Ovis aries: one gene and its partner. The protein of the gene in region 1 binds, or shares a complex with, the protein of each later gene. Links are inferred from orthologs where the notes say so. Each region holds a gene or a part of one and is shown on either strand. Other genes may lie near its edges.

Region 1 (4,195 bases):
CTGATGCTAAAGCTGAAACTCCAATACTTTGGCCACCTCATGCGAAGAGTTGACTCATTGGAAAAGACTCTGATGCTGGGAGGGATTGGGGGCAGGAGAAGAAGGGGAAGACAGAGGATGAGATGGCTGCATGGCATTACCGACGTGAGTTTGAGTGAACTCTGGGAGCTGGTGATGGACAGGGAGGCCTGGCATGCTGTGATTCATGGGGTCGAAAAGAGTCGGACATGGCTGAGCAGCTGAACTGAACTGGACTGTGAAAACAACCACATAAAAACACATATTCAAACAGCCAATGGCTGGGAATGTTCAGAGAAAGATGAAAATAGCTCTAGAGCAATACCTCTCTGCGGCCTGCCCCAGAGCTGGCCTCTGGGTGCCCCTCCTCTACCAGAAAGGCTTCCTCTCCGCCAGGTGCTTCGTGCAGTCACCTTCAGTTGCATTTGTCTGCCCTGGTGGGAAGTAGGATGGAAACAGAATCTTTTCAGAAGGTCGAGATGATCTAGTGCTGCAGCATTTACCTATCTTCAAGATTAAACAAAAACCGCTAAGTGCCTTAAGAGTTATGCATATTACTCTTTCATCTGTGCAAAATAAGAGTAAGACACAGGAACTTGTTTGTGAATGGAAAAATTCTGGAAGAACGGATAAGAGACTGATAACAGTAACTACCCTGGGGGAGGGGGATTGGGGGTCTGGGGTAGCAGGGTGTCAAACTTATTCTTAAGTAGGAGACACACACTTGGTACCTTTTCTAAAACCGTGTACAATTAAAATTTTATTTTTGAGAAGTTTAAATACGTAAATATCATGACTCTGACTTTGTAAACATCGCTTTTAAAAAGTCTTGACTTGTTACAAATCAACGTCTTCCAAAACAACAAATGTACATTTTGGGCCTCAAACTGTGCCCCTCTTTGGAGTAATGAGGACCAACCCCAATTTGAGGTCTGCTTTGCATGCATTTTGTCAAGAATCACAAAGCACACCAGATTCTGGCATTAATTCCAACGCAGAATGCAAGCGCTATCCAGAAACGTTGACGAGGAACAGCGGCATGAGGATTCGGGTGTGACGGACGGTTTTCGTCCTCAGGAGGAATTTGCGCCAGGCTTTGCGTCCGGCCAGGTGTGCGCGCGTCCGCCAGCCTACTGGGGCGGCGAGCGTCCAGCCTCCGGGTGCCCCACGGCCCGGGGACCCGGCCTCGCCGCGATCTCCCCGGGCCGCGCCCCGCCGCGCGCGCGGACGGCCGCTGGGAGCGCGGACCCGGAGCCTCCGGGCCCCGGCGACCCCGCCCCCGGGCCGCGTCACGGGGCGCCGCGGGTGAGCAGCTACCATTGGCCGAGCCGCGGAGGGGGGAGAGGCCGCGACCCTTCCCTGCCGGCGGGCGACGAGCCAGGGGGCCGGCAGCCTGGGCTCGGCGCTCAATTTAAACTCTGAAATCTGGGCCGCTGGCGGACTCCGGAAACGAGACGACGTTCGCCCGGCCGGCCGCGCGCCCCGGGCCCCGCCGCATTCCCGGAATCGACCCTTCTCCCGCCATTTGCCACCCGCGTCTCGCCGAGCCCGCGCTCCGAGAGCTGAGGCCCGCGGCCGCCGGGAGCGGACGAGTGGCATGGCGCGCGGCGCGGACGGCGGGGAGGGGGCTCGCGTTTGGCAGCACGTGTTCCTGCTCCCAGGTAACCACGCCGGGCCCGGGGCGGCGGCGCGCGGGCGCGGGCGCGGCCCCGGCTCCTGCCCTGGGCGGCCCTGCCCGAGAGCGCGCCGGGCGGGTTCTCGGCGACGGGGCGCGCCCCCTCCGGCCCGCGGTCCCTCGCGCGCGCGCGAACCCTGACTGTTTGCGAGTCAGCGCCGAGTCTAGGGGCTGCCAACCCCGGCCCTGCCCCCGCGGCCGCGCGTGGGGGACCCGAGTGTCACCCGGAACACGTGGTTCCTCCTCTTGGTCACAGTGCCCTCGGTTTCGCTTTTTTTTTTTAAACCTGAGCCGGAAGCGCAGAAGCAGACCGAGTGGATTTTCCCCGTTCGGGTTCTTTGTGGATCGGGTGGCCTGGAGGGAGCGGCGCAGGCTTGGGGAGGGCCGCGCGGGTTCAGGACCTGGGGGCCAGCGGCGAGGCCTGGAGGTGTCTGCTCTTGGGGTGTAATTTGGTATGTCCTAGTTGACAGTTGTCTTAGCGTCTGAGCCCTACTAGATCGGAACCTAGAATCCAATAGGTTCGCATTGACCTGAAGGCTGTGCTGTCTTAACACTTTCCCTCCACTGGGACATGCCTTGATTTGTGAGGCTGCATGGTGGTGGGGGTTAGGACAGGGGTGATTCGGAGAGATTCAGGCAGGTAGCTAAGGATTGGAGCCAGCCTTGTCAGCCTCCCCGGGATGGTGACCACATCCAGGCCTGCAGGGGCTAAAGATGATGGACGTCAGTTGCCACCTATGATGGCATGAAGTGGCAGAATAAATGGAGTTTGGGACCAGGGAGTGCAAGCCAGAAAGTTTTGGCCTTTTCATAGAAGGATACATTGATTTGATGGCGTAATTGAATATAGGAAAGCCCATTCTTCTCTGTATCTAATTTTGAGATGTAGCTCAGCAAATGCAGTATTTTTGCAGTAAATGATACTCTGATGACAGATGTAGTTGCCCAGTAATTTAGATTTTTATATGTGCTTAGTTGCTCAGTCGTGTCCGACTCTGTGATCCCTTGGACTATAGGCTCCTCTGTCCATGGGGTTTTTCAGGCAAGAATACTAGAGTGGGTAGTCATTTCCTTCTTCAGGGGATCTTCCTGACCCAGGGATAAAACCTGAATCTCTTACGTCTCCTACATTGGAGGCCGATTCTTTACCTTCTGAGCCATCAGGGAAGATTTTTATGATAGATATTGAAAGTTATTACAGGATAATCTGTCAAGGATATTTTGTGTGTGTTTAATTTTCCTCTTTGTAAAGAATTATACATATCGTTGTCCCTTTATAAAGAAATATAACATATATATTGTTGTTTAATCATTTGGTCATGACCAGTCCGACTCTTTGTGAACCCATGAACTGTAGCCCGCCAGGCTCCTCTGTCCATGGGATTTCCCAGATGAGAATACTGGAGTGGGTTGCCATTTCCTCTTCTAGGGGATCTTCCCGACCCAGGCCCAGATCATACCTGCCTCTCCTGCACTGGCAGGCAGATTCTTTACTGCTGAGCCACCTGGGAAACCCATGTACATATAGTAAAGTGTAAAAGTTTTAAGTGTGCAAGTCCATGAACTTTTCATATGTGTACACCCCTGTCACCATTCCACACATTAAGACCTAGAACTTATCCTGTGAGCTCCTCTTGCCTGTTCTAGATGGGCTCAGTAACCTCTATGCTGACCTCTGTCACCAGGTATTTGTTCTGCCTGTTTGGTCAAGCACGTGATTCTTAACCCCTTGCATCTTTTACTCAGCGTTACGTCTGTGAGGCTCATCTGTAGTCTGTAGCAGTGGTCAGGATTGTTGGTTCATTTGTGTTTTCCTTGCTGTGTCTATTTTATTGTATGCATAGTCATATTATTTTTTTCCACTACTGAGGGTGGATATTTGGATTATTTTTTCCTGATTGTAACTATTACGAGTTGCTGCTGCTGCTGCTAAGTCACTTCAGTCATGTCTGATTCTGTGCGACCCCATAGATGGCAGCCTACCAGGCTCCTCCGTCCCTGAGATTCTCCACGCAAGAACACTGGAGTGGGTTGCCATATCCTTCTCCAATGCATGAAAGTGAAAGTGAAGTCGCTCAGTCGTGTCCGACTCTTTTTGACTGCATGGACTGCAGCCCACCAGGCTCCTCCATCCATGGGATTTTCCAGGCAAGAGTACTGGAGTGGGTTGCCATTACCTTCTCCGTATTAGGAGTTACACTTCTACGAACACTTTTATGAGGCTTTAAGTAGCAGGATGTAATCATCTCTCTGTGGTGCAAACCCAGGAGTAGAATTGCTGGCCCTGGATATTGTGTTTAGCTTTGGTGGACACTGCTCAACAGTTTTCCAAAGTGGTTGTACCGATTTATTTGCCCAGCTGTGTGAGAGTTCCCGTTGCTCCACATCCTCACTGGAGATGTTTGTAGTTTGTGTAAGGCAAATTAATGCAAAATTCAGGGTTTTCATAGAGTCTAGTAAATAGTAAAGGGATGCCTGATACCTGCTTTACAGTAGAAAATT
Region 2 (2,985 bases), on another chromosome or scaffold:
ACTCCCAAGGACTGGAGCAAGAGGGGAAAGTGGTGACCGGACGCTGCCCGGGGAATGCCAGCAAAGGCAGCAGAACTGAAGCTGGCAGCCATCTCGCCCCCAGCAGGGTCTCCAAGAGGCACACCAAGGGAGACAGGGCTGAGGACCACTCCAAAAGGAGAGGACGGGCCTGGTCAAGGCTAGCTGGTGCCCAGCACCAAGGCGAGCTCAGGGCTCATGGCAACTCCACGGTCAGCTGGCTGCAGGCCCAGGCCTGCTGTGAACCAGGGACCAGAGGGAGCCAGGCAGCTGTGTATATAGTAAGAGGGGTGGGTGGGGTGCCTTGTACAGAGGACTGACGGCTGTACAAATTTCTTTTGTAAAGTAGGAGCTGGGGTGTGGTGGGTACTGGTTGCAAAATTATGGCCTCTTCTGCCCCATTGCCCCCTGGCAATAAATTGTTCCTAGAGGTCAGAGCTATGGAAGGTTCTGTGGGAGAAGGGGCAGTGTTGGCAAACTCACAGGTTCTGTGAAAAGCTCCTTTATTGGGTGAAGGACTCTGGCTTCACACTGGGGTGAGGGGTTCGGTGGCTTTCAATGTCAAGCTCTGGTTCTCAGTCTTCGGGTACCTGTGCGTGAATCTGCAACAGGAATCACCTCTACTATTGGATTTCTGCAGTATAGTGACTGGGTGGCCCAGATATTCAGAATCATAGCCCTTCTAGAAGGCCAGAGAAGAGTGCTGGGGAAGCCATGCTGTCCCTACCCAGTCTAATCCTCCAGTCAGACTGGGTCTCCATCTGCCCCATTGTTCGCCCCAGCCCCAAATTCACTCAGGCTGGGGTGGGGCCGGGGGTGGGGGGGGGTGGGTTCGGTGTTAGATAAAGCCTGGGAGGGAGAGGGCCCATCCATCTACTCACCGCTGCAGCGAGGCTGGGCCAGCTTAGGGCCCCACGCAGTTTGGCATCCGGACCAGGGATAGATTCCAGGCCCCACACGGTGAAGCTGCTGAAGCTGGCTGTGGCTCCCATAAAGCGGTCCTGGGGGCCGGGAAGGGGCCCTGGCTCAGCATCCGGGCTGCGGTTCCCACCCGGGCTCCCTTCCAACCCTATCCCCCAGTGCTCACGCAGTCCCGCTCCAGCGCCTCGGGGGGTTCCTCCAGTTCCTGCTCTTCTCGCTCGTGGTCATCCTGCTTCACCACCAACACTTCTGCCTTCTCTTCTGTCATCACATATCCCACGAAGTCGGGCGGCACCACCACCTCCTCGCCACGTAGACTACGGCCCCTAAACGACGCTTCCAGTCCTGGAGGAGGCAGAAGCAGGGAGGGCCTCTGAGGGTCTGACCCAGGCCTAAGGGAGCAAGCCCGGTGGCGGTCCGCCCGCCGCCTCCGGTGGACCACGATCCCCAGGAGGCCTGGCGGCGTTCCTCGCGGAGGAGAGCGCGATGCTGGCGCGGGGGCCGCCGGGAGCCGTAGTCCGGCCGCGAGGGCTCACCGTCGGAACCCAGGCGGATGGCTGGGGTGAAGAAGCGCCCCACCGGCGTGGGCCGGTTAACCGGGACCTCGCAGGGCAGAAGGTGCAGCGAGGCGGGGGCGGGATCGCGCAGTGTATCAGGGCGCAGGTGGACGCGGCGTTTGTCGATGGTCTCCTCGTAGCTGTTCTCCATAGTCCGTCACTACTCTGCAGCTCGCAGGCTGAGGCCAAAGCTGGCGCGCAAAGCGCGCGGAGCCTGTCGGGGGCGGTCGGCGCAGAGCCTCGTGGGAAGCGTAGTTCTTCTCTGAGGCGCTTCTCCAAGCCTGCCTCCCGGCGTTCCAGTCCCAGGGTTTTTTCCTTGAATTCCTCGGCCCACCCTCCGCCCCCGAAATACATTCTTACTGTAAAAAATTAAAACGGTATCTAAGAGTACACTTTTAACATTGATTAGTACAAAGTGTTGTGCTTTGTTTGTGGTGTAACACACACCACAAAGAAGGGATATCAGCCCTTCTTCACATGTGAAGATATTTTATCCTAGTTTGTCTTCCAAACCTGTATATTGGTCATTTTTATTACAGAGAAGACTTTTATTTATTTTGTAGTCACATATTCAATGTATCTGCCTTTTCTTTTCAGTCACAGTACTCTTTCCTTGTTCATTTCTTAAGGTTAGTCGCACAGTCGTGTCCGACTCTGCGATACCAAGGACTGTGGCCCGCCAGGCTCCTCTGTCCATGGAATTCTCCAGCAAGAGTACTGGAGGGGGTTGCCATTTCCTTCTGCAGGGGATCTTCCCGCCCCAGGGATCTAACCCGAGCCTCCTGCATTGCAGGCAGATTCTTTACCAACTGAGCTACTAACACTTCTCTAATGTTAATGTGTCCGGATACCCAACTTAGATTTTGACAAGTACTCTCATAAAACGAACTCCTACAAAACTGGTTATTAAGACTGAAATTGCGTTTAATTTATAGATTTGAGAAAGAGAAAAACATCCTTAGATTTCCAAGATCTGGCTTTGGTGGTCTGTTGAACAGGAACAATTTCATAGAATATCTGAGGAGGTCACTCTGTGATGTGAGTTATGAAAACAAAAGGAAGATCATTTCATACTCACCTGAACACTGACAAAAACACAAATATTGTCCAAAACACAAATAATGAGAATTCTTCTATCTTGGATAATATAGTGACTGTTGCTACTTTACCAATTATAGCGTCAGCCTCCGTATAGATAATGTTTGTTAACATATCCCATCGTAGAAATACTCCCACTCTCTGAAGGCATCCAATCCAAAGAAAAGTCCCACTTCCTTAAACGCTCCCTCAAATTCCCTAAAACACAAGTTCAAATCCTAGAAATCCTTCCTGTTGTTTTTCAGTTGCTAAGTCGTGTCCCACTCTTTGCAACTGCATGGACTGCAGCATACCAGGCTTCCCGGTCCTTCAGTATCTCCTGGAGTTTGCTCAAACTCATGTCCCTTGAGTTGGTGATGCCATTCAACCACCTCATCCTCTGTCGCCCACT

What was found. Proteins that work in one complex are often made in the same cells at the same time.
Region 2: the proteins of RNASEH2B (region 1) and RNASEH2C are in contact, whole or in part, in a crystal structure (PDB 3PUF), measured with the Homo sapiens proteins. The link is inferred for Ovis aries from reciprocal best matches to the Homo sapiens genes RNASEH2B and RNASEH2C. Residues at the interface, in NP_078846.2 of Homo sapiens: Arg14, Gln15, His16, Val17, Phe18, Leu19, Val20, Ser21, Glu22, Leu24, Leu35, Met36, Phe37, Val38, Lys39, Leu52, Glu62, Lys64, Phe66, Glu68, His70, His71, Ser72, Trp73, Phe74, Ile75, Asn76, Gln77, Ser78, Val79; in NP_115569.2 of Homo sapiens: Ile9, His12, Arg13, Val14, His15, Leu16, Ser18, Ala27, Thr28, Leu29, His30, Leu31, Leu32, Pro33, Cys34, Glu35, Val36, Ala37, Val38, Asp39, Gly40, Pro41, Ala42, Pro43, Val44, Gly45, Phe48, Phe63, Val75, Pro77.

Annotation. Positions count from the first base shown.
Region 1 is NC_056063.1:20,677,215-20,681,409, forward strand, and holds the start of RNASEH2B (ribonuclease H2 subunit B), read left to right. Parts: upstream 1-1,336; 5' UTR 1,337-1,615; coding exon 1,616-1,679; intron 1,680-1,815; exon of another isoform or gene 1,816-2,145; intron 2,146-4,195. UniProt on the Homo sapiens protein: Non catalytic subunit of RNase H2, an endonuclease that specifically degrades the RNA of RNA:DNA hybrids. Participates in DNA replication, possibly by mediating the removal of lagging-strand Okazaki fragment RNA primers during DNA replication.
Region 2 is NC_056074.1:40,326,452-40,329,436, forward strand, and holds RNASEH2C (ribonuclease H2 subunit C), read right to left. Parts: upstream 1,690-2,985; 5' UTR 1,648-1,689; coding exon 1,476-1,647; intron 1,285-1,475; coding exon 1,106-1,284; intron 1,020-1,105; coding exon 813-1,019; 3' UTR 621-812; coding exon of another isoform or gene 594-620; 3' UTR 505-593; downstream 1-504. Other genes in the region: histone acetyltransferase KAT5, read left to right, coding at 1-36.